2 linked regions of the Medicago truncatula genome follow. The protein of the gene in region 1 interacts with the protein of each later gene in a pairwise test. Links are inferred from orthologs where the notes say so. Each region holds a gene or a part of one and is shown in the gene's direction. Other genes may lie near its edges. The genes, in order: protein UNIFOLIATA and chromatin structure-remodeling complex protein SYD.

Evidence for each region.
Region 2: the proteins of protein UNIFOLIATA (region 1) and chromatin structure-remodeling complex protein SYD interact in binary tests that used the Arabidopsis thaliana proteins (3 or more experiments, as listed by UniProt). The link is inferred for Medicago truncatula from reciprocal best matches to the Arabidopsis thaliana genes LFY and SYD.

Annotation. Positions count from the first base shown.
Region 1 is NC_053044.1:48,434,426-48,450,335, forward strand, and holds protein UNIFOLIATA, read left to right. Parts: upstream 1-8,120; 5' UTR 8,121-8,490; coding exon 8,491-8,938; intron 8,939-9,308; coding exon 9,309-9,676; intron 9,677-10,181; coding exon 10,182-10,544; 3' UTR 10,545-10,719; downstream 10,720-15,910. Other genes in the region: phosphatidylinositol transfer protein 3, read left to right, coding at 1-118, 200-316. UniProt on the Arabidopsis thaliana protein: Probable transcription factor that promotes early floral meristem identity in synergy with APETALA1.
Region 2 is NC_053045.1:57,323,506-57,339,928, reverse strand, and holds the start of chromatin structure-remodeling complex protein SYD, read left to right. Parts: upstream 1-9,319; 5' UTR 9,320-9,475; intron 9,476-10,432; 5' UTR 10,433-10,442; coding exon 10,443-10,547; intron 10,548-10,642; coding exon 10,643-10,704; intron 10,705-11,275; coding exon 11,276-11,364; intron 11,365-11,448; coding exon 11,449-12,114; intron 12,115-12,642; coding exon 12,643-12,797; intron 12,798-12,958; coding exon 12,959-13,122; intron 13,123-13,212; coding exon 13,213-13,277; intron 13,278-13,358; coding exon 13,359-14,087; intron 14,088-14,303; coding exon 14,304-14,476; intron 14,477-14,890; coding exon 14,891-14,988; intron 14,989-15,068; coding exon 15,069-15,254; intron 15,255-15,823; coding exon 15,824-16,004; intron 16,005-16,096; coding exon 16,097-16,291; intron 16,292-16,376; coding exon 16,377-16,420; intron 16,421-16,423. UniProt on the Arabidopsis thaliana protein: Catalytic component of the chromatin structure-remodeling complex (RSC), which is involved in transcription regulation and nucleosome positioning.

The DNA of each region.
Region 1 (15,910 bases):
TCTACAAGATTACTATCCAGAGAGATTGGGAAAGTTGTTCATAGTACATGCACCTTACATGTTTATGAAAGTATGGAAAATTATTTACCCTTTCATTGATGACAATACCAAGAAGAAGGTAACACTTTTAAAATTGTTACTTGTTGTATGAAAATTGAGATGTTCTAGGAGCATAATGCATGTGTTGAATATGTTGCAGATAGTATTTGTTGAGAACAAGAAGCTGAAAGCAACATTGCTTGAAGAGATTGATGAGAGTCAGCTCCCAGAGATATATGGAGGCAAACTTCCATTAGTTCCAATACAAGATTCTTGATTAATTTATTAAAAACAAATAAATAAAGGAGAAGTTCTAATGTACTGTACTATTTGTTATGTAAGTTATATTGATTATCAATAAAAAATTTGTAGTAAAAAAATGCAAAAAGAATACTTTCAAATAATTAAAGGGTACAAATTCATGTATAGGTGCTCTGTTGCTGCCCCAAACATGTAACGAGTGCTGAAAGTGTGTAACACCATATAGAATAGAAAAATTGTACATTCAATCAAATACGATTATCCTTTTAAATTAAGTAACGTTATGGTTTATGTCATAGTCAAGATAAAAGATAGAAGCAATTATATCTTATCTAAATCAACTTTTTTTATATCTTATAAATTAAGTCAGTCATATTGTTTTGCTATTCGGTGAGATTGCTCTAGGACTTTGTGTCTTTAGGGAGTCTCAGTTATTATTGATCTGGTATGCAACTATGTCTCTGGTCTATCCAAGAAACCTCATTATATGTCTGTCATTCTCTTTTTTGGTAGCGGTAGTGCGTGTGTCTTATTGATGTTCGAGGGGGACCTTGTCTGAGCTCTTGCCTTTTCCCGTTTTTGATAACTTAAAGCCTTGTTGTTGTACAATTTTTCGGTGTTTTCAAGTTTCTTCTTTGTGTACATATTTTGCCATTTAAAAAAAAAACTTCAACTATATTCTAATCATCATATCCTACAATTATCCGATCTCTCATCATCATATCCTTCTATATTCTAATTCTTTTTTTTTTTGTCACAGAAATTATGTATTCTATCTTTTTTTTAAAGAATGTATTCTATTTTATATATGTTGATTAATTATTTTTTTTTACTCTTTAGACACAAAAATCAATAATTTTATATTCCCGCCAAAGTTCCAGATGCATTCTGTTTCTTGAGACATGATGAATTTGCTTCCGTTCAACCACAGTCCATAAGTATACCATGGAGAATATTTTTTTTTTTTTTTTTGTTGTTGAAAGAACCATGATATAGACTAGTTTTTTTTTTTTTTTTTTTTTTTTTTTACGGACGTTATATACTATTAGATTAGATGATGTGTTTAATAATTTTACATATACATTATGGAAATTGATCTTTAGAGTCACCTAACAATTGCTCATCAGAAGCTAGCAAAATGCCCCAAACTGTACATAATTATTGTTCGCTCATGAACGGTACTTAACTCTCATTCTGATGGAATTATATTCGGAAAAGCTGAAAAACCAAGCAAACAATAATATGTATATGACAACATCTGAACAGTTCAGAAGGCAACGATAGTTAACTATCATTGGTGCCGTTTTTAAAAATTTAAGTTGTTAGTTAGCAATTGTTAGATGTTTAAAGAACAATTTTCATACATTATTCGGCTGATTCAATGAATCCAATATGCAAATCTACTACAGGCCATCCCAAGCAGGTAAAATAAGGGCCTCAGGCCCTAAATTTGTAGTTTATCTCACTCTTTCATTGTGTTGCAATTGTTTCAAACTCAATGTCGATTTTTTGTTTTTGTTTTTGTTTTTAGACAAAATTAAACAATTTGTCCCTTCACTTACTTTTGAGCAACAATTTCGTCTTTATCTTCTTTTTTCTTTCTTTCTTTCTGATTTCATCTTTTATGTTATAATAAGGTTACACTTTCGCCCTTTTTCTTTTTCTTTTTCAATTTTAATCATTTATGTTATAAAATACCAACATTGTTATTCATTTTTATAGAATTTTTCAATGAAATTTGAGTTTCTATGTTTGTATGATGAAGATTCGAGTTTGTTTATGAGTTTGATGAATCTTTTAAAAGTTCTAATAATGATTTTTTTTTCATAAAACAAAGGATAACAAATAGCATAAAGGACTTAATTGGAAAATGAAAAAGATAAAAGAAGAAAATGTTACATATTTATAAAATAAATGATTAAATAAAAAATTAAAGGACGAAAGTGTTGCTTGAAATTAGTTAATGGACGAAGTTTTTATCTTCAATGTAAATCAATTACTCTTTTTCAATTTGATAAAATTTCCATTTATAGTCATTTTTTAATGAATGTAAAATAAACAAGTGTGTCAAACTTACATGTGGGATAAAGGAAAAGTTAATAAAGAATTACAAAGATTAAATAAATTAACTTTAGTATATATGATCAATAATGTCACAATAAAGATTAAATTAACATAAATGATAAACAAACACAAATACAACACTAATACCATATTCCACTGTTCTCTATCACTCGCCGACGGCCTCTTTCTCATCGTTGTCGTTCTCTGACGGCGTGAGGGAGACAACCCATATGTTGTTATTGAACGAATCACTATGTGAGAAGGACCAGGGTCTGAGTCCGGCCCGAATAAAGGAGAATCAATAAACTCCGATCCCGATTGCTTCGGCGATGTGAAAGTGGTGCAAGAGTACAAATCTGAAAGGCAATGGATATTTGGCCGGAAAACGAGAAGAAGAAGTTATGGGAGGTGGTCGGAGTCAACACGTTAAGAAGTTGGAGTGAACACGGAAGAATTTGGAGAAGAAGGGTGAGGAAGAAGTTCCGGTGGTGGTGGAATGGAGAAAAAGATGAAGAGAGGGGTCGAAGAGAGCAGAGAAGGAGAGGAAGATAGGAATGGAATGCCAAAGTTGTCCCTATGTTTTAAAGTCAAAATTACTTATTTGCTCATGGTGTCCAGTATTTGTCAAAAAACATGTTCATCTATGTTAAATGAATTCTCCGTATGAGTTTAATTCAGTTGACAAAGACGATGTATTGTACTCCATCCAATCCTATTTATCCTCATTTTAAAATGAAATATTGAATAAAACCAACTACAATATTTTTAAGAAAATACTTTGTATCTCAGAAAATAAGAAACTTAACATTAAAATAAAATTTTATTATTAACCATAAAGAAAAAAACTCTATCAAATTCTTGCTTTATATAATTAGCTTTAGAGGACATTGAATTTCGTACACATCAAAATTTTAAAAGAAACCAAACCATAGACCAAACTAAACATATTCAGGTAAGTGATTCCTCAAAAAAAAAAATGGGTGATAAAATGTGGGATTAAAATTAAACCTAATTACAGTTTAATCGGAGATCATTAGTTATATGAAACATCTTTTCTTTAAGAGGATGAAACCATCTTTTAGTGAAATTGAAAGTTAATCAAGAAATAATCTAATAGCTCTTAACAATGATTCATTTTTCTTTACAAAAAGGAAAGAACTTTGTCCATTGGGTCATTTGGGTGTGAGCTTCATAATTTCTCTTAAGAGTGTTAATTAAGTACGAAAGTTGAGATTTTTAAGAACTAAGCTATGAAGCAAAATGAAAAGGAAGTTGGGTAAATGCAAGTAAAACCGATAGTTTGAGTGAGTCTAAAACAAAATTGACAAGTGGTATTTATAGAATATATGACAAAGCACGTGATTGTGTTGCCAACAAAGACATGCTCAGAATGTTGCGAGTCCGTGAGAAGAAAAAACTAACATAATAATTAGGTGGCATTTAGGGTGGTTGAGGGCAAGAGTTTCCTACCATAGGAAAGTTCTTTTGAACCATTAGATTAGATAAAGAACATATCCTTATCATAGACATTCAATACATGATTATTTTTACTCTCCTCCGTATCTCTTTCACCCACCACCACTTGGAGCAATTTCACTCAACCCATTTAAGAACATTCTTCCATGCACTTTAGAATTTATGGTAGAGGTCGTAAAACAATTGCAGGTATTCAAAATATAGAAACACATATACACATTATAAAAAAAGTACAAAATACTTTAAAAAGAAACTCAAAAAATTCCTCAAAGGAGATCTAAAGTTGGCCGAAACATTTTGTTCAATTTTCTTTTATGAGATCTAAGGTTGTTCTTTGGTTCCTGCTTCAATTTTCTTTTGTTCTTTGTATAACATTCCTCAAAGGCCAAAAACAACAATTACTAATTACAATCTCAAACTAAACTATAGAGGAATAATCAACAAGACAACAAACAAATAAAAACAAAAATCAAAAGCTAGTTGTAAGGCATATTCAGCAACAGAGTCAAACTAAATTAAAATTTCTTATTATTAGTAAAAAAAAGAGACATCACGACCGGAAGCGGTGGCCGGAAACTTATCTGTCGTGGTGTGTGGTGGCTCTCCGGTCAAGATAGCCATAATGCAAGATGAAGTAGAACAGTAGAGGATCACGCTATGTAGAACACAAATCCAGTGAGGTTGGGGTAACATGAATCCGTGGTGGTGGGTGAGTTGCGGTAGAAGAGTGAAGGGTGGTGGAAGAAAGGGTGGATGACGGAGGTTAAAGACAAAATGAGAAAAGTTATGATGTGGACAGACCATGATAAGAATATGTTCTTAATTTGATCTAATAGTCAAAATCAAATTTTCCCATGGTAGGAAACTCTTTCCCTCACCCACCCTAAATGCCACCTAATAATTATCATATTAACATTTGTTATTAAAAAAGTCGGATAAATTTGCAAATAACGCATAAGTTTTTTAATGTTGTTGCGTCTAGATGATGGCCCACATTTTGTCATATTTGTCATGTTTTGTCATAGAACACAAGTTTGGGTCAAATTGTCTATTCCAAGTATTTTAGACGAATTATGACACCTCCACAACTTTGGTGAAACTCTTTTGCCTTAAGAAAGATTTAACTAACCCGTAATCTATGGTCGCTAGCTCGACATATCACTATTTAGTTATCTGAATATAAGCTAACCCTTAACTCGACTGTCATTCATTCTAGACTAACAATTTAGGTCATTTTATGTTTGCGTTTGGTTGTGCGGCGGTGGGAAGAATTAATTTTGGTAAAATTGATTTTGGTTAGAAATCATTTTGACTAAAATGATTTGTATTTGGATACATATGTAAAAGTGAATTATATATTTGTGTGTGAAAATTAATTGTGCAATTAAAAGCTACAAATCTTGACTACGACCAGAAGCAATTATAAAAACAAAATCGATTCTACTCGACAACAACCAAACATATCATAATCAACTTCGATCTTTCTAAAAATGGAACTAATAAACACCAATTTTCTCTTCAGTACAGATATCATGTCAGATTATCGACCTAGGCTAAGTAAACATGTCTCATATCCATTGCAATAAATAATTGACTTTTGAGGAATAACATTGACAATTGAATTTTACATGTACAGTTGTGGTTTGTCATCTTCCTCGACCAATATAATTGTACAAATATGATATCCAAAATTAAAATAGAAAACGAGAATTTACTAACAGTGCATGTGATCTCAAAATAGAAAACAAGAATTTCCTAACAGTGCATGTGATCTCTATTCATTACCTATATACAGTTGAACATAATGAATAGATACGAAGAGTCCAATAATCAGGTCCCTTGAATGAGAATTAGGAATCAAGGGTTAGAATACCTTCTAAACATACTTTCTTTAATCTAGTGAGACATTTTAAGGTTAAAATCCGAGCTAGAGAGTAGGGATCACATAAGAATTACAATAGACAAGATCTCAAAAATGGTGTACCAAACATGAGGTAGAAATAATGGATCTAGGGGCGGTTCTAAGGCCCGGCGACCCCGGGTACTCGCTCGGGCTCCGGGCCAAATTTTTTGCAATTTCTTGTGTAAATCCCTATGAATTTCTTATATAAACCCCTTATAAATTGGGCAATTTCTTTACATTTTTTATTATTTGCTTGCAATTTCTTATGTACGCCCTATAAATGTGTTGCAAATTTTTTTTTGCCCGGGCTTTACTATATTCCTGGCTCCGCCACTGAATGGATCATAATTGAGTAGAATCACACATCTAAACCATGTACAATAGTTTTATCTAAACCATGTACAATAGTTTTTTCATTCAACACCCACTTTTTCAATTCCCAACAATCATCTCTCTTATTTAACATTCATTCAACTTTTACCCTCAGCAATGGTTTTTCATTCAACACTTTACTCCACCACTTTTTATTTCTTATTTAATTTTATATTTTGTTTTTATAATTACATAATTACAATTATCGATTATAATTAAATTAAAAAAACACTTAACAATTTATTTTTGGAGAAAGACCAGCGCACCTGTCAGGCGTGTGTAGTGCACTCTCCCTACAAACCACTTGTTTTGCGCCACATCATCTTCAACTTGGCCCACCATTCTCCTATTCAACATGTTGAATGCATTCAACATCTCTCTCCTCCACATCATCATTCAACATACCATTGGAGCACTTCCACTTGTTGAAGGTTGCTTTCAACTCAACACCATTGGACATGGTCTAAGAACAGTTGAATTTCTGTTTCTTGCCCTTGATTTACTTTGCTTAGAAAAATGCAAGTTGGAGAGAGATAGAAAGAGTGAGAAGGATACTTATTGAAATTAACCGACAGCAATCAAAAGCTTGACATATCCACACAATTGACACATATATGATCATTGGTGACAACTCTCTTTGATACTTTATTCTCTCTCTTCATCTCTCTCTCTCTCTCTCTCTCTATATATATATATATATATTGTTATTGTCCAATTAGAAGGGAGGAAAAATGTTGTTACCCAAAATCATTTAAAATTGATTGTCAAAATATCATTCATCTTTAATCAATAAGTCTTCCATTGAGGATCAAGTAGTTTTTGACACTCGCTCTTCTATGCCTACTTCCTCAAATCATTGAGATACGTATAATTGGATTGAATCAAACCAAGTATAATGTTGGATGAGATTGTTCTTCTAAACCTAATCTAAACTACACTATAAACACTCCATTGTATCTGACATTGACACATATAATTCCATTGAATTATAAAAAAAAATCAAGTTATTAACAATATCGACGTGTCATTGTTTGTATCTTGTGCTTCATATATGGTAACCAGCGAGGTGACACCATGCACCCTCCACCTCACTTCACCTCTATTAATGGTTTATGGTAGCTCATGTGTTGGCATGGGTTGGAAATTGGAAGCAATGGTCTTCGAAAGTACACACACATCATGAATTAATCAGCCTTTTTTTTTCAACTTTACAGTGTTTGCTTTAAGACCAACTGGAACAACCTGCAACCCTTGCAGCTGTACGTACTTTGATCCCTGCATCACTGCTTCTGCTTCACATCTCGTCACTCATGAAATAGTAAATAGTAACCCCATTCTTTACTATCATTGTTTCCCCATTAATGTTTTTACTGTTTTTACGTCCTTTTTTTGTCTGTTTCCTTAACGAGCTAGTCTCTCTTCTGTATTACAAACAGCTAAAAACCTCAGTGAGATTTTCTCTGATTCCGTAACTCACCACTACAGTATCAGACACAAGAATCACTCGTGAATCCTCTGCCATCTACCTTTCTTCATTGTAATTCTCACCAAAAATAATTAATAATCAAATTTAATAATTTACCTTTAATTGTTTGGATTGATCACTAGTTACATTAAATCATAATAATAGGCAATAAGGAAAAGTAGCTTGTTGTTTTTCGGGTTACAAACTTACATGCATGCCTTTCACTGACCAGGACCTTACCAACTTTTCCTTATTATTTGCCGCCCTACCCTAAATATAATCATAATGATTGAACATTTGAACTAAATAACCCTAAAAAACCCTAGTATTCTTCATTTAATTAATTTGTTGTTGTTGTTGTTTAAGTAGGCTAATATATATAGGCTTTTACGACAACCCAAAGCATCAATTCATACTTTGTACAACACACAAGCATGCATATGACACATAAGAGCAAGCACAAAAAAAAAAATAACAGTCAAGTCAAATCAGAGGTCAAACCATATACACACAACACAACACAACTGACCCCATCTGGTCGGATATTATTATGGGTAACCACGTCTATCTATAGCCAGTTAAATTAGTTCGGTTTGTTTTGAGGCATTCCAGTTTCAAATCAAATACAGTTCTTAGTCTCACACACAACAAAAGGAAGTCTCCAACAAGCCCTAACCAGTCTTGGGAATAACACTATTTCCTTATAGTTTTGGAAAAACCATGTCAAACAAAGGGTAGTTTTGGAAAATCACGTTATCTTTCTTTCTCCACAGTAAATTTAACCACACCCTCACCACCTTTACGTTTTCTATATCTCCACCTAAACAGTACCATAAATCTTCCACTTCTCATAATTTTCCAAAACCTAACAAACATACACAAAGAAGTTAAAACAGTTTCATTGCTTACCATGGATCCCGACGCATTCACCGCCAGCCTATTCAAGTGGGACCCACGTACCGTCCTACCAACAGCTCCACCTCTCCGTCCCCAACTTCTCGACTACGCAGTCACCCCATCAACTGCTCCATCACCTTATTATCCAGCGAGATTACCAAGAGAACTTGGAGGTTTGGAGGAACTTTTCCAAGCTTATGGAATCAGATACTACACGGCGGCGAAGATAGCAGAGCTTGGTTTTACAGTGAGCACGCTGGTGGACATGAAGGATGATGAGCTTGATGACATGATGAACAGCCTTTCCCAGATTTTTCGTTGGGATCTTCTTGTTGGAGAGCGTTACGGCATCAAAGCTGCCATTAGAGCTGAACGGAGACGCCTTGATGAAGAGGAAATTAAACGCCGGGGTCTTCTTTCCGGCGATACCACCAACGCTCTCGATGCTCTCTCTCAAGAAGGTGCACAGTCATTTATAATAATTGACTCAAATTATTCTACTGTTATATTAAAATACTGTTCTAATATATTATTAAAGTCAACTATGATATTACAAATTTATAATATGAACCTCACTTTTTTTTCCTTTGTATATGAAAATGAACGATTAAAAGATGTATTATGTTGAAAAAACGGTACAATGATAGAAAAAATTATTTTAGAATTGACGTTATGAAATTGATAATTACATTGAATGCATGATCACTTATACATTGATCCTGTGGTAACAAATATAATCAAGTAGTAACTAATCACAAATAATTTGTGACATGACAGCCTTATAGAATATTCAATTCTCAAATGTCAACTATATATAATTAATATGCTTAGGTTTGTCGGAGGAGCCGGTGGTGCAGCGAGAGAAGGAGGCGGTGGGAAGCGGAGGAGGGAGTACTTGGGAGGTAGCTGTGGTGGAGGAGAGGAGAAAGAGGCAGCAAATAAGGAGGAGAAGGATGAAGATGAAGGGAAATGGTGATCATGGTGAGAATGAAGAAGGAGACGAGGAGGAAGAAGATAACATCAGTGGTGGCGGTGAGAGACAAAGAGAACATCCATTCATTGTGACAGAGCCTGGGGAAGTTGCACGTGGCAAAAAGAACGGTCTAGATTATCTTTTTCATCTCTATGAACAATGTCGTGAGTTCTTGATTCAGGTTCAAGCAATTGCTAAGGAACGCGGTGAGAAATGCCCTACCAAGGTATACTATACCATGCCCGAACAACATTTTTCATATATATTTTAATTGAATTTGTTGTACTTTCTCGTCATATCTATGTGGATCTATCTTCTTCTGAATCTGACTCTGACTTGAAACCAGTCAGATTCCTGTGTTGTGTAGTAGTGTATAGTTCCTTCACGAACCGTTTGAACAGTACTTTCTTGCCGTGACACGTTCATCCGAACACGTGACGACTCAGGGACTCTCCTAATGGGTCCCATCACAACTTCCCATTCAACTGGGATTTTCATATGATCATATATCTCCGTTCCGTACACTTTGTTTGTATTTATTCATTTATTTATTTTCCGGTCACAAACTAGAACCATAACAAAATAATGCATGCATTTTATTATCCGGATCTTAGCTTACCCTCATAATCAAAATACATATCCATGAAATTTTGATACTACGTTGTGTATATGGGGTCTACTTATAATAAATAAATAAATGATACATGATTAATAACTTTGAGTGAGTGTAGGTGACAAATCAGGTATTTAGGTATGCAAAGAAAGCTGGAGCAAGCTACATAAACAAGCCAAAAATGAGACACTACGTGCACTGTTATGCATTGCATTGTTTAGATGAAGAGGTATCAAATGAGCTTAGAAGAGGGTTTAAGGAAAGAGGAGAGAATGTTGGTGCATGGAGACAAGCATGTTACAAGCCACTTGTAGCAATAGCTGCACGTCAAGGATGGGATATTGATGCAATATTCAACGCACATCCTCGTCTTTCAATATGGTATGTGCCAACAAAACTTCGTCAGCTTTGTCATGCTGAGAGGAACAGTGCTGCTGCTTCAAGCTCCGTCTCTGTTGGAACTGCTCACCTTCCTTTTTAAGTTAGACTTCAAATTCTATCACGCTCGCATGCATCTTTCTGTACTTTGATGATCAGGAATGGATGGATCATCGATGTATGTGTTATTTCTAGGATTATTATTTGTGTAGTACAAGTGGAAATGTAGAACCTTCCTCATATATATCGACTGGAATGTAGTAATCTCATTTTAGCTAGAGGACTTTTCTTAGTTATTATTGAAGGAAAAAATTAATATAAGGTTTCTTTATGCACCTCATAAATAATTTGCTTGCTTGGGTTACAAATTGATTCTCTGCGGTAATTTTTTTAAGCTTTCACGCAATTACAACATGTAAATATTAACTAGATGAACTTTGTCATAACCCTAATTTCTAGCATATTAAAAAAATATAATTAATTTTTTGATGTTAATACAAATAAGCACAAAGGTAAAAACTTAATAAAAATTGGAGAGAAATAGTAATTCTCAATAGAGAAATGATATTTTAACAACCATTTTTTTACAATTTTTTTGACAACTTTTTCTCTCATTCACATTATCTTTTTACTTTCTCTCTCTATTGATTTGGTTTTTGTGCCACTACCTCATTTCCTTTGTAAAATTTTGGTATATATGGATGTTCAAATAACACAACTCTTCTCAATAATATATAAACAGAAGTTTAAGACTATGTTTGGATTGGTGGTATGGGATGGAATGGTATGGAATGAGATTAAAGAATGAGTGAAGTTTAGCATGGGAAAGGCTAATTTTTCCCACTATGGGAAAGTTAGTTTTTAACCATTAGATCAAATCAAGAACACATCCTTACCATACTCCCTCATCACTAGATTTTGTAATTTTATTATTTTAAAACCATTTTTTAAAAACAAAAAATATATTTCGAAATTAAAATAAACATATAAAAATAAAAAATTAATTTAAAAATATGGAAATTAATTTTCCAAAATTTTAAAAAATATAAATAATTTTTTTGAAATAAACTTGTTTTCAAAAATTTTAATTATGATTTTCGAAGATTTAATTAAGTTTTTTGAAAAAAACTTGCTCAAAAAAAAAATTGGAAAATTAATTTCCAAAATTAAGTTTATTTTTTATTTTTAAATGTTTATTTTAATTTTGAAATATTTTTTTTGTTTTTAAAAAATAGTTTTAAAATAATAAAATTAAAAAATCTAGTGATGAGGGAGTATGGTAAGGATGTGTTCTTGGTTTGATCTAATGGTTAAAAACTAACTTTCCCATGGTGGGAAAAATTAGCCTTTCCCATTCTAAATTTCACCTAAAGAATGTACCATTCCATTGCTTGGATTTGAAAATAAAGATGGAATGGAATTGAACATGGTGGGATGTATTCCATCCTATTCCATTATTTCTCTCAATTTTCATTCCCCCCAAATCGAGAGGTATGGGATGGAACCACTCCATTAAATTTTAAAATGACTTACATACCCTCTTCTTTTAATATCACTCACCACCATTACCTAGCTAGTTGTGTTCTTTCTCCTTTCTTGTTTGTGTCATCTTCTCTTCCGCGTAACCTCGTGTACATGCATCATAATTTTATCTCCACTTGCATATTCCTACTTTGCTAATTTGAAAATCTGCGACACGCAGTAATCTGTTTTCACAATGTGTAAATAAATATTCTCTTTACAATTATTTTGCCGCATGTAACTTGTCACAGTTCCATGGCTGTGCTAATTTACTTTGGATACACATAACTTGTTCAATTGGTTTGTTTTTGCACACTACACAATCATGTTAATTTGTTGCACCAAATTAAACTTATGAGTTCATCATGGCAAAAGAAAAAATTTATGAACTTTACAGCACTGAACTTTACAATCTAAATATTAGAAGTTTAATAATAATTCAATCAAAATCTTTGTTTTTTAATTCGTCAAACAATTGCTTATTTGATTATAATGACAATTTTTAAAATAAAATTCACTATTAATTAATTAATAATCACCTTTAATAATGGCGTTTATAAGTTTAGAATATGTTTCAATTTTACATAATGTTGTTTTTACAATTGAGGGTAATAAAGTAATTAAAAATTATAAGTATTCCATTCCGTTTAATTTTCCAAACGATGGAAGGGGAACTTTGTCTCATTCCATTATAAAACATCCAAATGATGGAATGGGAAATTTATTTCATTCTATTCCGCTCCGTTCCATTCCGTTCCATCCCACTCCACTGATTTTATACTATCCAAACAAAGCCTAATAGTTCGTTATAATAATATTATATGAATGGACCATACATCCGTCCATGGTTCTAACAGAAGATAAATTTGACTTTTTACCTATATATACCTTGCCCATACATTTCTAGCAACACCTTAGACCTAAATCTTTAGTTATCAAAATTCTCCATATCATTTTATAAATTGGTGAATAATGTTAACTCATTTTTAATAGGCTAAAATATGGTTTTGGTCCCTGCAAATATGCCTCGTTTTGGTTTTAGTTCCTGCAAAAAAAATTTGTTGTTTTTGGTCCCTACAAATATGTCTCATTTTGGTTTTGGTCCCTGGCTCCACTTTTGTGATAATTTGCACACGTGGCACATGATGACTGAACCATTTATTAGATAAATAGTCCCTGCAAAATCTTTTGATTTTGTAAAAGATCCCTGCAAAATATTTTGTTTTTGGAAATAGTCCCTGCAGGGACTATTTCCAAAAAAATAATATTTTGCAGGGACCAAAAACAACAATTTTTTTTTACAGGGACTAAAACCAAAACGAGGCATATTTGCAGAGACCAAAACCATATTTTAGCCTTTTTAATATACTCTCTTTTATTTGTTAAAATCTTTGTTGACCTTACTAAAATTTATACGAAATTGATATAGTTTGATAAGATCCATATAAACTTTAACCAATTAATAGTGTTAGAAATATATATTAAAAGATGTGTTGTTAGCATATAAAAAAAATCATGATAGATTTTCGCCATATGAATCACGAAATAAGTTAAGCTTATATATCTACATACAATGATTGTTACTCCATCTATTTAGTTGTTGTTTTAAGATTATTTTTACATACCAATAATATCAAGAAATTTTGTTACTTTCGATAGAATTACTTCTTTTAATTTTTATTTGTAGATGAAGTGATAAACACCACTTGAAACTTACACGTAACTGTAAGGACTTAGATTTAAATTTAAGTGAAAGTGTCAAAACAAACAATTCAATTTTGTTAATTGTATTAGATCTTACATATATATTTGCCTTTTTTTGTATAACACTCTTATCTATTAGTTATCTCGTTCTATAAATTTTTTTCTCTATATGATAAATATTTTAAGAGTGTTATTAAGAAAATAATAATAATGTTACGTTGAACTTTAATGTTATAATAATAAATTGATCGAAAGTTATTATCTAATGGAAAAAGATCTAATTGAAAGTTATGATCTAATTAATAGAATATTTATGATATGATGATAAATCAAAAAGCTTTTGAGCAAAACTGAAGGACTCGATACAATTCTATTTAGAATTCTGCTCTTCTCCCATCACGTTTGCTTGAATTAACTCGCGTAGGAGTTAAACATGAAAAAACACCCGCTTGAGTTAACTCACGTAGAGATTAACACTAGCGTGAGTTAACTCACGCAGGGGCATTTTTGAAAGTTTGGAGAGAAAAACGTGCTGGGAGAAGAACAAAAGATTTCTGCTCTCCCCAGCACAAAACACTCGCGCCCTGCAATGTTGCTGAAAATGCCCTTGCATTAGTTAACTAACGGAAGTGTAAAACTATACATGACTTAATTTTTACACATGCGTGACTTAAATCACGCTAGTTTACAATTTCCAAAAGAACAGCTACATCAGTTTATATGCACAGCAATAACAAGGGGTTGGAACGACCCATAATTAATTGGGTAAATATCTCTTTTCGTCCCCGTAATATTAGCAAATTCCGGTTTCAGTCCCTATAAAATAAAAGATTTAGATTTTGTCCCTGTAATTTCAGATTCTTCCACTTTTTGTCCCTCCTTTCATCACGTCAACAGAATCTGTATAAATTACGTCCTTGTAATTTCAGATTCCTCCCACTTTTGTTCCCTGTAATTTCATATTCCTCCACTTTTGATCCCTCATTTTACATGCCATGTATGCAGATTCTGCTTACGTGGTGGAATGAGGGACCAAAAGTGGAAGAATATGAAATTATAGGGACTAAATCTAAATCTTTTTTTTACAGGAACTAAAACCGAAATTCGCTAATATTACAGGGACGAAACGATATATTTACCCTAATTAATTTCTATCAATGGAAATTCAATTCAAAAAGTCAAGCCTTGCACGGTATATTACGACACCGGTGGTGATAATAACAATTCATAATTGGGATTGAAGTGAAAAGCGCAACAATCAGGACATACATGAATAAAGAGGAAGCAACTAAATTGGAATAAAAGGATAACAATAAGAAACTGGATTTTGATAATATAGACTTTGAACTTGATTCAAAAATCACTCGAGATGTTTTTTACTTCCGTACGGTCGACGTTGCAGAATTTGGAAATATTATTGACGCGTGTTGAGAGATTTTTTTCAACCTCCTTTACAAACTTCTGGATAGAGTTTATTAGGCGACAAGCGAATTCGGCGGCTCATGCTTTAGCAAGAGAAGCCACTTCCCTAGCTAGTCCCATTATTTATTATGCAATCTCATTATGTATTGAACCTATTATTATTAATGAAATGCTATAAACATCTTTTCTTCAAAAAAAAAAAAAAGAAACTGGAATTTGGAATCAGTAATCACTGCGTGAATTCAAATGGAAAAATATTTATGCAGAAATTCTATTGTAAATTCCTGCGTGAGTTAACTCACGCAAGTGTTAATTCCAACGTGAGTTAAGTTGCGTGGCGTTAGTTAACTAACGTAGGGGTATTTTGAGCAAGGCTGCAGAGCGCGAGCGAAAAGTGCAGGAGAAGAGCAGAATTCTTAACAAAATTCTTCTATTTACTATTTAAGGCCCAGTCCATTTTCAAGAGAGACGTGTTTCTTCCATATTAGGCTTCAAATGCTCTATTTATACCTGTAGATCCATCATTAATGTCTTGACGCATAAAAAAAAAGGGAAAATTACACTCACCTCCTCTGAGGTTTATTAAAATGTCAATGACACCCCCTTTAGTTTTAAATCTTACATGAACCTCCCTTAAGTTTTTATGAAATAGACAAACATCTCCCTTATCTATTAACACTGTTAATTTTCCATTATCTTTTCTGGTTTGAAGAATAGCAATGTGAACAATGAAATTGGCTACACAAGCAGCAAGAACATATTCTTCATGATTGTTGAAAGAGAACATTCTAACATACATATGTTTTTAGCTTCTCATAAATC
Region 2 (16,423 bases), on another chromosome or scaffold:
AGTCAATGACAATCACTCCAACATGTTGGACAATATCTCCCAACGCATGTATTTTCGCACGGACAACTATACAATGTTGTATAAAGAGTTGCATCCAGAGAAGGACTGAAGATATTGATTAATAATGAAGATTGTGAAGATATGGATGAGACGTCTAACGTCGTGTATGAAGAAGTATTTCAAAATGTGTAATACCCCCTATTATGTATTTCGTTGTAACATTCTTGGTTGGCGATATGATATTTCAGCAAACAATACATTTTGTGACTTTGATAATTGTTCTTTACGTAGTTTAATTATTAAAGTTCCATTCCAAAATATTATGTTTCACTAAGTATGAAAATATTTCAAGCTCATAAGACCTCGGCGATCTAGTATGGTTTAATACTTCTAACCTGCTAACCCTATCCATTCAAAGGAAATTATCAACATATTATCAACAAACAAGCTTTTCGCTATAAAACCAACACTTGTTATTACTTATTCCAACAACACACACTCTCGTCGCTCTCTCTCTCTCTCTCTCTCTCTCTCTCTCTCTCTCTCTCTCTCTCTCTCTTCTATTCATTACGTTCTTTGATCGAATTAACTCATCAAACAAACGAGCTTACTGGTTTATTGTTTGCAAATCACTGGAATTTTATGGTTTAATTTGTGGTTTATTTTAAATTTGATTGTGATATTTCTTATGCTAATTCACATTCAACAGGTACCTGGTGCCAGATTCTCTAACCCAATTTCAGTTTCCCGTTCAGTTAAGGGGGAATGCCTTTCCATCCATTACATTGCAGTCTAGGGTACCTCGTTTTCAAGTTACATGTGTTGTAAGTTCCTCTAAACTCTTTTACTATATTTTATTTTATTTTAGGATTAATTATGTTTTTTCTGTCTGCAAATATACAAGTTTTTGTTTTTGTTTTTTAATTTGATCCATAATGTTTTGTTTTGTTTTATTCCATGTATGTATGCATAACATTTGATTTTTGTAGACTAAAGTTATTAAATTAATATTACGTACATATTATAAGGATCAATTTCAATGTGAACAAATTTAAGCTGAACTAGAATAAAACAACAATGAACAAAAGCAAAAAAGTTCTGTATGGATTGTTTGGGATCACTTAAATGAAAGATATATTATTCACTTGTAGTAAACTCTATACTTATTTTTATAGTATAATTATAAAATTACTAAATTGTTGCTAGTTCAGAAGAGGATAATGGATTTGGTGTGGTATCACACATTTTGATTTGTTTCACTCGTTGTCTTGATTCAGTTAACTGCTCAATGAAGAGATTTTAATTTTTTCTAATAAAAATTGATTTATTGATTCCACAGTATATTTGTTGTTGGAATTATCAATGGTTGCTTGTACTTCTAATACTTAATTTAATTCTGTGTGGTATTTATTTGGACTATATTTGCATTATTTGTTGTGATATAAACGATGTGAATTTAATATGAGGCCAAAGCAGAAACTGTAAAGAAGGTGTGTGACATTGTCAAAAAATACAACTGGCATTGCCAAATGAGTCCTCTGTCACTGGAGAGTCCAAATTTTCTGCACTTGGAGCTGACTCTCTCGACACAGTATTGACATATTCACAAATTTTGTCTATGAATTCTTGTCTATGCATAAAAGTGTAACTCATGCATTCACAATTCACAACACTTGATTGTATTGTATCTATTTTTATTTTATTACCTTATCTACGTGTGTGGTAATGTACTTCTTGGTTTCTGAGCTCTAATGCTATCTTGTTGTTTTTGGTGATTAGTTTTCACTTGTCAGAAATACTCAATCCATTTCTCATTAGGTTGTTATTTCATTCTATCTGTTTGTTTCATGTTTAAAACCAGAAGACAGTTATGGCGTTTTTATGCACTTTTGCTGCCAATTTTGAATAACATCTTTTTCTAGGCTATTAACTATCCTTTAGTATATTGTTGTGGCAAATGCATACACATATAACATTGTTGACTAATTTAATTTTATTCCCTTCTCTATTTAGAATATCATTTGGACATTATGGTTTTTAATCTACTTGGAAAATTGTAATTAAAATGTATTTTGAGTCCCTTCTTGCCTCTTGAACCACTTAAGTTGCCTAAGCGGAAACTTCAGCATGATTCTACATTTGAGAAAAATGATAACATAGCCTCTGTTATTTATCTTTTATAGTTTTTTTTTAAACTTATTTAGACTTGTTAAATTTCCTGTAGGTTGAGATTGTAATGGGACTTGAGGAGGAATTTGGTATTAGTGTTGAAGAAGAAAGTGCCCAGTCCATTACCACCGTCCAAGAAGCAGCATACATGATTGATAATCTTCTTGAAAGCAAGAGTGCACCTAGAACAAAGACACACATGCATTTTAGGGTTTTTATATTTTTGTGTGAGGGGTTTTTTAATTTTATCTTAGGAATTTCAGTTTGATTACTCTTCAAGAAACTGTTAAATCTTTTCTGAACTCATAGAATTATTGCATTACTAGTTTTATTTATGTAGAATCTGTGGCTCTCATCAACTATGAAATGAAATCTATCTGTTTAAGTGTTTTATGTGCTCCTCTATTACAAAGCTTTTTCTTCCATTCTTCTTCAAGGCCTTTGAGGCTCGATATGATGTCTATTACGCGGAGGGTTTAATCTTCTACAGTGCCTCGTGCCTCTGTTTCCTACTATAATTTCCTTATATCTTCAGAGAGGAAGAAATTTTATTCCACCATTCATTATATTTATTTTATTAGGTGTATGATCCCTCATAGGGTTGGACAAGATTTATGGAAACCGCCCAAACCGCCCGTTTCGAATAACCCGCAAGTAGGCGGGTCGGTTTAAGCGGGTCAATCGGTTTATTCGGATTGACAGAAACGGATATGTGTGGCTTATTTCAGTCGGTTTCAGTTTGGTGAAATCAAACCATAATAACCCATATCCCACCGCTGCATAGTTTCTTGAATAGATAAATCACAGTAGAGCGGTAGTCTAGCAGACTAGCAAGTGCTTTTTCCCTATATTTTTTTTTCTAGTATCCACACAATATTACTGACACACTCCACCTTTGCAGTCCCATCTTTCTATACTTTTGTACATCCACTAGTTTTTTTAAATCATTTTTTACTTGGTTGAATAAAATAATAAGTATTCTTAGGCAGACCACTTCAATACTCCATCTCACCACACCTCACTGTCACCCTCACCCACTCTTCCTCTTTCTTCTCCCTCTCTCGCAGACTCACAACACCAACCTTCTTTTTTAGTTCCTTCTTTTTCTCTACAACAAAACCCCAACCTCACAACCTTTGGTAACCTCCCAATGTCTTGATGTGTCAATTCATATATACTCTTGCATGCTAGAACTTTGCTCTAAACCTTCAACTACTTCACTATCATTTCTATTGTGAGCATTTTTGAAGTCATGCATCTTCCTTTGTTTTAATCTTATTTTTTTATTTACTTTTGTTTCTTTCTATTTTTGTTTGTGGAGATTTAGAGATACTTATGGAACCTAAAAACCGCCCGAAACTACCTGTAACCCAAAATAACCGAATTCGAGCAAACCGACTTCTCATACGGACGAAAATGGATGCATGTATAGCAACCGTGGTTATGAACGGAATTTCATTTCTCAACCGAATACCGACCGTTGTCCACCCCTAATCCCTCATATTAAAATATAGAGTTGTTGTAGTTAATTAAGGAAAAATTACGGCAGCATGTGGGATGGTCCAACAAGAATTTGGTGAAGTGAAAACTATTTATATAAGGTAGGGCAAGTATTAATGCTAGTATTATTATATTTAGACTTTTATAAATTATATATTTGTTACGCGGCTTGCCCACATATTTAGGGCAACATTATTGGTCCAACAAAAATTTGGTTCAGTAAGAACTATTTTAATGACATAAAATAACCAATATAACATTTACTAAATTATAGTTTTGTACTTTCTTCGTTCAAAAACATACCTTGTGATTCCTATTACTTATTTAGAAAATCATCGAGTGCGAGATAAGCAAGTCTTTCTCAGTTTTATAAATGTTTACAAAGGTTGTGGGAGTGTTCAAAACAATCAAAGTAAGTGGAACTTGACAAATTATTATCACTTTATTCGTGTGTCATGTTTATAGCACCATTAATGAAAGTGGCCGTTCGCAAGGGGCATGTTTCAAGCAAATGATGCACAGTGGATAAAGGAAACAGAAAATACCGCGATGGAGAGAATATCAAGCCAAACCTGGAGCACCACTTACTCATAGCAGGTGGAAAAATCACACATTGTCCATGAAAATAAATAACACCTTATGATCTTTACGAGTTTCACCCTATGAAGTTTGAATACGTAGTACAGATGCGAGTACGATACGAAACATATACATGAATATATAAGTTTTTAAAAATTTAGGATACGATACGGCTAAGATATATTAACAAAAAAATGTATTAAAACTTGGACAAAATTACACAATTTATCCCCTAACTTAATTTTTGGAAACACTTTCGTCATTTTTTTTCTTCCAATTTAATAATTTATGTTATAAAATGTCAATATTCTATGATTTTTTATGGGGTTTTTTCAATGAAATATAAATTTCTATGTTTGTATGATGAAGATTTGAGTTTATTTATGAGTTAGATGAATTTTTTTATAAGTTTTTTTTTCTTTCGAGTTTTTGATTCATATACTTTTTAATAACAATGTTGATATTTTATAACATAAATGATTAAATTAGGAAAAAAATAAAATAAAGGACATAAGTATTACCTTATTATAATATAAATGATTAACTGGGAAAAAAAGAAGAAGATAGAAGACGAAAGTGATACTTTTTTGTGTGTAAAGAAAACGAAAATGTTACTTGAAATTAAATTAATTGACGAATTGTGTAATTTTGTTTAAAACTTGCGTGCATGTAAAATACATGAAAAAAAGGTGCATTGATTTCTATGATTTCTATTCATTAATATATAACTATAAAGTTCCCAATATACAAAAAGGATAATACTTGTGATCAAAATACGAGGTGTGGAGTTTTCGTATAAATCATAATTTCATTTCATTTCCATGCTAATACTATATTAACATAAGTAGAGCTAAAAGAGCTTAAAACAAGTTTTGCATATTTAGAGCGACCGACAACATATTTAACCGTAATAATACTCTTCTATACTATATATAAAGAAAATAGCACATTTTGATAGGATTTTGAGCTGGCTTTTTTATTATTCCAATTATACTTTTAAACGTTTTTTTTTTATAATAAGCTATATTGTTGGTGTTTTTAAAAAAAAGATAAGAATTTTTATTATGTGTAGTGATATTTGAACAACTTATGTGACAACTTCTTTTCTCTCTCTTTTTATTGGTCAAAAACAATGGAGAGAGAAAGAGGAAGAGAGAGAATAAGAGTCTAATGTGAGTATAAGAGAGAAAGTTGTCAAAAGATTGTCATAAATGGTTGTACAAATATCATTTCTCTTTTATTATATTTTTGCAGTCATTGAAAAAGATAAATATGGTTTGTTGAGTTAAAGTCACAAATATAATAAAAATTCTTCTATAGAATCTATTTTTAAAAGTTTTTTTTGGTGGGGTGGGGGTGAGGATACTAGGAAAATAGCATGGATAAAATGGGAATCTATTTGTGTTCCAAAGGAGGATGTGGAGGGTTGGGGGTTAGGAGGTTGGGAGAGTTTAATTTGTCCTTGTTGGGGAATGGTGTTAGCGGATGTTGGTGGATAAAGAGGGGTTATAGTACCGTGTTTTAAAAGCACGTTATGGTGAGGAGGGTGGTCGTTTGAAGGAGGTGGCAGGTTAGGCTCGTCTTGGTGGAGGATGTTATGTAATGTTCGTGAGAGAGTTGGTGAGGGAGTGGGAAATTGGTTTGAAGGTAACATTCGACGGGTTGTGGGAGATGGTCGTAGTACCTCATTTTGGTTCGATCATTGGGTCGGGGATTCGCCTTTGCGACTCAAATTTCCTCGACTTTTTGATTTGGCTATAAATAAGGAGTGTGCAGTGGCTGAGGTGGAGAGAGATGGGTGGGGCGAAGGAGGAAGAGGGTGGGCTTGGAGACGTCGTTTGCTAGTATGGGAGGAGGAGAGTGTGAGGGAGTGTTCATTATTATTACATAACTTTGTTTTACAGGTTAATGTTACTGATTCATGGAGATGGGCACTTGATACCATTCACGGATATTCGGTGCGGGAGGCTTATCACTTTAGCACTTGATACAATGTCTGGCATCGGCACATACCGACAAATGTATCTATGTTTGCGTGGCGCCTTCTTCGCAATCGCCTTCCGACTCAAGACAATTTGCTATGGAGGAATACAGGTTCTACGTGTGTGGCCGGTTGTGAGACTTTAGAAACAGCCCGCCACTTATTTTTATCATGCGGTACATCATCTACGTTGTGGTCTTATATGTTCACTTGGTTAAGCTTGCATACGGTAATCCCTTATGACTTACGTGACCATCATTTTCAGTTTTGTTACATAGCGGGACTACCGCGTAGTACTCATTCTTATTTGCAAGGTATATAGTATGCTTGTGTCTGGGTGATATGGAAAGACAGAAACGAGCATATATTCCAAAATGAAGCATCACATCCGTATGTTCTGTTTGAGAAAATCAAGTTAAATTCTTTTGTGTGGATGAAAGCAAGGAACATCCCTTTTAATTATTGTTATTATGATTGTTCGACACATCCTCTCCTTTATACGAGTGTTCTTCACCATTAATTTATTTTGATAGTTTTTTGGGGAGCCTTTCAGTGTGTGGCTCTTTGTTTATGTAAATATTGACCGGTGATTCACTTTTGCACGTCTTGTGCAGGTGCTTCACCAGTGTTATTAATATATATCATTTTAACTTGTGAAAAAAATAAAATTACAATGACATTAAAATTAAAATTACAATAACATTAATATTACAATGACATTAATCAAGCAATTGTAAATTAAATAACCGCGGGTGTAAAATATATTCACATCGTCGATGCATTTGAATTAAATCAGAAAGTTCAAAAATCAAAACCAATGGTACAAAACAAAAAAAAAAACAGGGGATTCAAAGTGGACATATAATAGGATTTTAGGTGCTAATGTAAAAAATTGAGGCGTGGCTCCACCACCGACTCCGGCTGCCATGCAGCTATGAAGGGTGAGTTTGATGCATACCCAATACAGAGAAAAATTAAACGATGGCGTGTTCTATACAATATTTGTTAAAGAGGAAGGATTTCAAAGAGAAATATGAAGCATATTTACGGCCAATTCACAAAGTTTAGATAGAAATATACGTTGCGGTTTAATACAGGTGCAACAATACACTTGGCTTAAACAATAATGAACGATATAGTTGGCTTAAAATCCAAAAAATAAAGGCTTAAAATCCCAAAAATAAATAATCATCGTGAGCATATCTAGAGACATGCATTGTTATATGCAGGTGATCCGGGTTCGAATCGCGGACTCTTCACTTATTTATCTTGGCGAATTTTAGCCACTGGATTACCTGACAAAAAAATATCCTAAAAAAAAATATAGTTGGCTTAAACAATAATCAGGGTAATTAATTGATATTCAGCCTTATGTTGGTTTAAAAAATGTTAGTCTTTCCTTCTTCAACCATTATGTTTAAGCGGATTACATTAAATTTAACTTAAAAATTAAAAAATTTTGAGACGCTTTTGAAAGTACATTTGTATAAGTCAAGCCATGATATTAATTAGATTTGATTGGTAACTCCTAAACGAATAAGGTTGGCCTATGTAAACAAAAACAAAAAAGAATAAGGCTGACCTAAAAAAAATTTATTTTTAGATCACAAGGTACGAATTTAAGTCAGATTTATGAAACTCCATTAAGTCGGATTTGATTGGTGACTCTCCATTTTTAGGTCCTCTAAATACAATTATGAAAGAAAATGAATAAGGTTTAGAGGGACCAAAATTTGACGGAAATTTGTATCCGTCTTTAACTTTTTTTTTAAAGATTGTCGTAAATGAATATATTTTTTTATTGATAATGCTACCATATAAGTTCAAATTTGACATTAATTAGTTTTGACTCATTAATCCTAAGTAAATAAAATTGACGAAACATGTATTCGGTAGTTGAATGCAATTGAGTTGAGTTTATGTTGTATAAGTCATAATTTCGTAAACTTAATCTTCAAAGACTGCTTTTATCAGCTAACTAGCTTGAACTAGTCTTTTAGGATGGTTTTGGGTATTTAATTAGATTTAACTTATAATTTTTTTTTTGTACACATTTAACTTATAATTATTACCATAATACATGAATGAATCCGACCATAACTCTAATTTGTTTAGTGGATTTAACGATATAAATACCACATACTCAATACTTATGTTCATTGATACCTTGTCATGATTTTCCTTTACCCCCATATCATGTTTCTTCTCCTGCATTAGTTTGTTCTTCGTTTTTTTTTATTACTTGGTTTTACATTTTCAAAAAGGAAATAGAGTTTAATCAAGTTATTGAGTTCAAATGATTATTATCTTGGTATCGGCCGACGTTCAAGTACACATATGTTCCAAAGGGCTCCTCACGAAAGGAGTCCACATGGCCTTGACATGGGAACAAAGAGAACCAAAAGAGAATAGTTAAAAAGGTCAAAGGCACAAAAGTCCACGAGACCAAATATGAACACCCAGTAAGATTCACGACACCAATCTACTAGGAACCAAACACTTGCAGTTGTCTCTCAAAGGACCATGATTGTCCTTCTAGAACAATTGTCCACGTAAAGGTACAAGGACCAAGTCCTTAAACCTCCACTATAAATATTTTGCTTATATGCCCGAGTTCAGTTAGATTCACTTTTCACATGTACACTTATCGTCCCACGCCACCTTGAGTGTTGGAGCACATGGAGGTACACCACCCTCATTCATCAGGAGAAGAAGCTTGCAAACGACAAAGAAGAAGACCGCAATTGACGGAAGTAGGTACTAAAAGGTCATTCAACGACATCAACTCAATGATCTCAAGTCCAACAAAATCAATTATTGAGCTTAAACAGAAAACAATTTGTTAAGTAGAACCTAATTCTAAGTGTCGAATAAAACAATTATTGATAAGACTTTAATTTCTTCAAAGAAACTTCAAATTATTATTATAGTCTTTCTGGAAAATCAATATCATAAACTTCAATTATTGCATTTTAATTTTTTATATAGTTTGGTAATTAAAATGGAGAGTTTCATACCATTTCAATTTTTCACAAGCTTAATGAACGTAACGTAAGCCGTTCACACGAAAAGAGCTTGCACTCGTGCGAAACTTTGCGCTGTGTTTGGTTTTTATTTTTTATTTATTACGCCAAAAATAACAAAAACCCGTTTTTGGTTTCATTTTCTTCTTCTTCTTCTTCACACACCGTGAGCAGCTGAACCTGAAACCAGATTTTGAGACTCGTCTCTTTCATCTCTGATCCGGTAATTCTTTCTCACTCCCTTTTTCTCTCAATCAGATTTTGAGACTCTCCCCTCTTTCTCATTTACCATTTCACCCACTTTTCAATTTTTCTGCAAATTTGTTTTGATTCGCCGATTTCAGCTGACTCAGCTCTAATTTCTTCTATTTTGCTAATATTCACCAAGGTTTTAGGTCATTTTTTCATGTTTCACAGTGTTAATCAACGATTTCTTATTTTAGGACTTTCGTTTAAAGCCAGGGTTTTTCTTTCTGGGTTTTTTTTTTTACTATGAAAGAACAAATTGGGTTCATCTATTTATCTAATTTTAGATTTTGGGGTAGTTTTATTCATTACTTGGTTTTTTGATAACTTTAAGGCAGGGTACTAGGTAGAACATTGAACGTTGTTAGCACTTTATTATGGTTATATATGTCTCAGATGCTGGGAAAAACAATTTCTTGCATGTTTTGTTATGTATTCTTAATTAATGTTTTCCTTTTTTTTTTTTTGGTTTGGGAGTGTAGCATAAAATTTATTGGTTTATCTTAGTGTCAGTATTGGAACTATGTTGTGCATTTTTGTTGAGTTTGGTCATACAATCATTATAAGTTGGTTCTCATTATTAGTTCAAAGATTACAAGTTGAGACTTATTCCGTTTTTATGTTGGGCCTAACTCATCCTTACAAAACCGTCTTTGTAAGATTGAGTTTGGCTCAACCCAAATTCTAAGATGGTATCAGAGCCTATCCAAGATCCGTTGGACCACCTGCTTTTAGGTTTCCGCTATCGAACCACTTGGGTCACACTCCAAATGTTCAGTTCTGGGTTTGAGGGTGTGTGTTAAGATTCTCACATTGGATGAGATATGGTCTGATCATGGGTTGTTACTTGTTAAGCCCAACCCAAATTATAAGAAGACTATCCTGAATTTTTCGGTTGATTTGGAGTTTGTATCACAATACTTTGCTTGTGCAGGACAAATGAGATGGCATCTCCACAGAATGTCGAGTTGGAGGCTGCCAAGTTTCTGCATAAACTTATTCAAGATTCTAAAGATGAGCCAGTCAAGTTGGCTACTAAACTCTATGTGGTGTGTGCTGTTTCTTCTTCCATGAATTTCTTCAATTATTCTCTTACCCCTTATAAAATTAGGCTTACTTGCAATTGATTTGATGAGTGTTTCAGATACTACAACATATGAAATCCAGCGGAAAGGAACATTCAATGCCATATCAAGTGATATCAAGGTAAAACATTTGAAACTCAGTACTCAAACTTGTTCGTATATAGGAATTCAATTATTTAGCCCTATGGCTCTTTTTGTAGTGAGCTAAGATAGTAGAATTGAAAATCTTATGCATATTGTCCTTATAAGGACACACAGTTACTTCTGAAATTATCATTTCCCAACAGTTAAAATATCAACTATCGGGGTGATGGAAAATGGAATAATAATGGGAAAGGTTTGTTGAATTGCATTGTGTGCAAGCTGGTCAATGGCGATGGATGTTTGTTAGGCTTGGGAGCCTCTTCCTAAACAAAGTACGATTGTGAATTTGTTTAGTTCAGTTTGAATAATATGCTTGAAGCTGACAGCTTCTTCCATGAGAACACCTTTATTTGATTGATTGGCTTAGCAAATGGATCATTAACTTAATTGTCAAATCATCTTCTGGACTTATTTTTTTTTTAGTGCGTTGGTGATTGTAGTGAAGCATATACATATCATTCTTAGCATTAGACCATATTTTGTTTTTCTTAATTAATGCTGTTTGGTGCATATCACTGTTTCCTCTTACTTAATGCTGCTTGTAATAGGGCAATGGAGACTGTCATCAACCAACATGGCCTTGATATTGAAGCACTGAAGTCGTCACGTCTTCCTTTGACTGGTGTTCCGCAGATAGGTAATTATGCTTGTTTTAATACTGTTTGAAGAGTATTTGTGATAATTTTTCAGTTGATTTAATTTCCATTTGTGGTTTATGCAGGATCTTCTTCACAAGCAGTGGGTGGTGCAAAAGATTCCAGACCAAGTTTGGCTGAAAGCGAGGCTCCCAAAATGGAACCCTTTACTTCTGGTCGACCACCAATTGCCCCAACTGGCGGAGCTCCTGATTATTATCAAGGATCTGTAGCTCAGAGGAGTAATCAATCTTTTGATCAAGAAAGTCCATCTAGTTTGGATTCTAGGTCTGCTAACTCACTGTCACAAGATAAACGTGATACTGTCATTTGGGACAAACAGGCGAATCAAAAGGATGGTAAGAAAGGTAACACAAAAAGAAAGAGGGGTGATTCCACATCACCTGTGGAAATGCATGTTGACAGTTCTTCTCTAGTAGAACCTCGCAACACTGGTGTTAATACAAGGAAGGGGAAAATGACCAAGACTGAACCATCAGATGGTATTCCAGCTAAAAGTGGTGAAATGACAAACTTTAGCGTGGTTCCAAATAACAGTCAAATGGAGAATATTTCAACTTTTTCTGGAAACATGAAAACAATGCTTAGGGCAAACCCAGAAGGTCATCATTTATTGGCAAAGCAAACTGATTCGACAAATATTGGCAATCCAACGGGGCGGGCTCCAAATTCAAAGTATCCAGAAGACTTGGAAGTTTCCTCTGCTCATATTGCTCCTGGGAAGCAGCAAGGTGGTTCTTAACTTTTACACATGTAATTAGAGGTGCATGAATCAAAATAAAGATAGATAACCTTTTAAAAAATATTTATACTAGTAAGGGAAAATTTCAAGTATTATTCATGATGCAACTTGATCAATCGACTATGCACTTTTGTTTGAGAACTGATGACTATCTAGAATATTTATACCTAAATGCCAAGTCCTACTATTTGATTGGTGAAATTTGAGAGAAAACATTGTAGAAGAGTTTATGAATTAAATATAGTCAATAGAATTGAATAATTTATCCGAGTGGAGATTATTTTACCCCGGGTTCTTATACCAATCATGGCTGTTCCTTAATCATTTGATTGTCATATGCCTCAGTTCTGTTCTGAAGTTATTTTTTAATGCTGTGAGATACTTCTCTTTTTACATATGGATATTTCTACTAATGTTAAATAATGGGGAGAATGATAGAATCAATTTTACTAGAAAAAACTATAATTTTGAATTTTGTACCCACGAATATTCATAGAAAGAATGCTTTGAATTTCAGGTGCATATGCTAGGGTTCATGGAGGGATGGTGGTTCCTGCTAATGTGTCTGCAATGAACGAACCAGTTTTCTCAAGTTCCATGCAATATGGTGTTCCTCTTAATCGTGATGGGGGGAGTTCAAATACTTTAGCTGATGGGCATCAAATATCTCAGGTACTTGTTACTCATTACTATATGCTTCTGGATTTGTCTTGTAGCTCTACTTTTTCATCTTGATATACTCATGTAATTTAGTTGAAACTTATTTACTTCTGTTGCTCTCTTTTATTATGTAGCTTGTATATGATTGGTTGATCAGATAATTTTATTGGCAGATTGGCAGGCAAAATAGTGGCTCAGAAATGACTATGCTTAGACAAGGTGTTCCCCCTAGAGATACAGGAAAATCCCCAGTTCCTGCTGCATCATCTACTATGCCTTTCAAAGAAAACCAGTTAAAACAACTTCGAGCTCAGTGCCTTGTTTTTCTAGCTTTTAGGTAGATATTGTTCTGCTATCTTTTTTATTTGAAAAAATGGACAGAATTTTATGTTGAGCTTTATATGAAACATTATTGTTCTATGTGCAGAAATGGTTTACCGCCAAAGAAACTACATCTTGAAGTTGCATTTGGAACCTTTTTTGCTAGAGAAGGTGACTGATATTTATATTTTACTTAACATTATCAAAGATCTTCACCGGCTAACTGGTATATGCAATGTGATGTTAATACAGATGGTTCTAATAAAGATTCAAATGACCCCAAAGGAAAATCACAGTCTTTTAGTGAGCCTGGTAACATGCCAGGTGTCATAATGCCATTTGGAAGTTCGAGCAATCTAAGACCGACTGATAAAAATCCTTCAGGGTCCTCTGCTGGAAAATTTTTAGAGGCTGAATCTTTTATGAAGGGAACTGATGGCACAAGATTGTTAGAAGACAAAGGTAACCTTCATTCTGACATCCAGACACCTTCAGAAGACAGCAAACATCTTGCCGCAAAAAGAGATGTTGAGAGACGAATCCAAGAAAGAGTCGCTGCACAATCTTCTTCAGCTACTCCATATCAGCAGAAAGATTCTTCAAGTTCAAGGGGTATTGTAGTTGGTAACAGTAATTTGGATGATAGTGACAATGGTATCTTGACGGCTGGAAGAGCTAACCAACCTTCTGTTGTAGGCCCTAATAACTGGACTGGATTTGCTGGTCCTAGCGAGGCTTCAAAGGGACCTCCACAGGTCTCTACTTCTCAACATGAGTTACCTATAGAAAGAAGAGAGAATATTCCTACTCACTTTCAGAGTGTTGTCAACAGTCGTGGTTCCTGGAATCCCAATTCTGTTAATCACTTGACTTCTTATTCTTTGAAAGAGCACTGGAAACCTGTTCCAGGGATTGATAGCAATCACCACGGAGGAGTAACCACGATGAATGGAAATGTATTGGGCAAAAATGTTTCTGCAGGTGAAAGCCATTGTCAATTATGTCATGTTTTTTTGTTGTTGAAGAGGATCAATTATGTCATATCATTACAATCAGTTTGTTGACGCTTAACTTTTCTGTGTCACTTCAAGTGTTAATGATACATGGATTCCTGAATGTTAAGAGCAATTACTGGCTGATTTATCAAAACAGTTCCAGTTGATTATGTATCTAAAAATGACATATTTTTTGCTACAGAGCAAGGAGGAAATGATAAGTTAGCATCAGCTGATTTGCCATCTAAAAAATTTACAATGTCAGAGAGATGGATTATGGATCAGCAGAAAAAGAGGCTTCTAGTTCAGCAAAATTGGATGCAAAAACAGCAGAAAGCAAAGGAAAGAATGACAACATGTTTTCACAAGTTAAAGGTTTGCCTTTTTATTGTAACTTAATAGCAGTTTTCACCCCCAACTTTCACAAAGTTGCGATTTTGGCCCCCTAAGAAAAAAAACTACAAAACCGCCCCTTAAGTTTTGCAACTGTTGTAGTTTTGGCCCCCCAAGGCTAAAAAAAATAACATGTGGCACCTCGCTTAGGGTGCCACGTCAGCGTAGACCAAGTCAAAATTGGCCTTGGGGGCCAAAACTGCCACAAGGGGGGCCTTAGGGGGCGGTTTTGTAGTTTTTTTTCTTAGGGGGCCAAAATCGCAACTTGGGAAAGTTAGGGGGTTAAAACTGCTATTAAGCCCTTAATATATTCTCCGTGCACATTCAATATATGGTTGGCAATAATTGGATGTTGCATAAACATTGTTGGTCTGTTGTTCATTCCTTGTGATCTAGGAAAATGTGAGCTCATGCGAAGATATTTCTGCTAAGACAAAAAGTGTCATAGAGTTGAAAAAACTTCAACTATTAGATCTTCAACGTCGACTTCGGAGGTAATGTGTATTTTTATATGAATGAATTTGTTATTTTGTTCAACTCACAGTTTGACATTATATTTTTCCTTTGTGGGCAGTGATTTTCTGAACGATTTCTTCAAACCAGTTACATCTGAGTTGGAACATTTGAAATCATTTAAGAAAAACAGGCATGGTAGGAGAGTCAAACAACTTGAAAGGTATGAGCTGAAAATGAAGGAAGAGCGGCAGAAACGGATTCGTGAGAGGCAGAAGGAGTTTTTCACTGAGATAGAAGTTCACAAGTATGTTCCTTATTTACCTTTTTCTACATGCTTTTTCCATCTCTTTAATTTTTCTAATGCATTGTGTTAGGGTTCTATGAAAGAACAAAATAGAGGAAAGGGGATTGTTCATCCCTGCAGATTTATTGATAGAAAAAAAAGAAAGTTACATAGGAAGATACTCCCCTGACACTTCTGAAATTCTCCAGTCAACTAATCAAAGCCAACAATCTTATATGGACATCCTATATAGGAGTATCTATGTATGGACATCCTGTACAAAAGGAAAGGGAGGAAAGATCTAAAGCAACTAACTCCTAAATCCTGGGATAACTAACCATTCCTAAATATCCCCATTAACTGACTCCCAACAGAAAACACAAAACAACTAACACACAAATATAAGGATAACTAACAGAAATTAACTCATAATTATCCTAACCTTTTCCTATAATACACTTTTAGAAGTTGAGTTTCTGTTCTATTACTATTATCAATAACATCATCTAACAAATTGTATTTGGATAACCATTATTCACTATTATCTGCACTCTTTGCCTCAAATACTTGCATTATTACTTGAAATTTAGGGAAAAACTTGATGATGTATTCAAAATCAAGAGAGAACGGTGGAAGGGTGTCAATAGATATGTGAAGGAATTCCATAAAAGAAAGGAACGTATTCATCGTGAAAAAATTGATAGAATCCAGCGGGAGAAGATTAATTTGCTAAAAATAAACGACGTGGAAGGTTATCTTCGTATGGTGCAGGTAGGTTTATTTTCTTATTATATTAATAGATACATGACATGCATTGAAGTTTGCATTCTTAACATTGAATTATGTCTTCATTGCCACATAAGGATGCAAAATCAGATCGTGTGAAGCAACTCCTTAAAGCGACTGAAAAGTACCTTCAAAAGCTTGGGTCTAAGCTACAGGAAGCAAAGGCTGCTGCAGAACGTTCAGGGCAGGACGTTGATGAGGGAGGAAGTACCAATTTTCTTGAGAATAGTGAAACTACTTTGGTAGACGAGGATGAAAGTGATCAGGCTAAGGCAAGTTTGCCACACACATCCCAATATTAAGTTGAAGTCTTATTTCTTAAATATGTCGGTGATTTTTTCAAATTCTGTTTCACAGCATTACATGGAAAGTAACGAGAAGTATTATAAGATGGCCCACAGGTA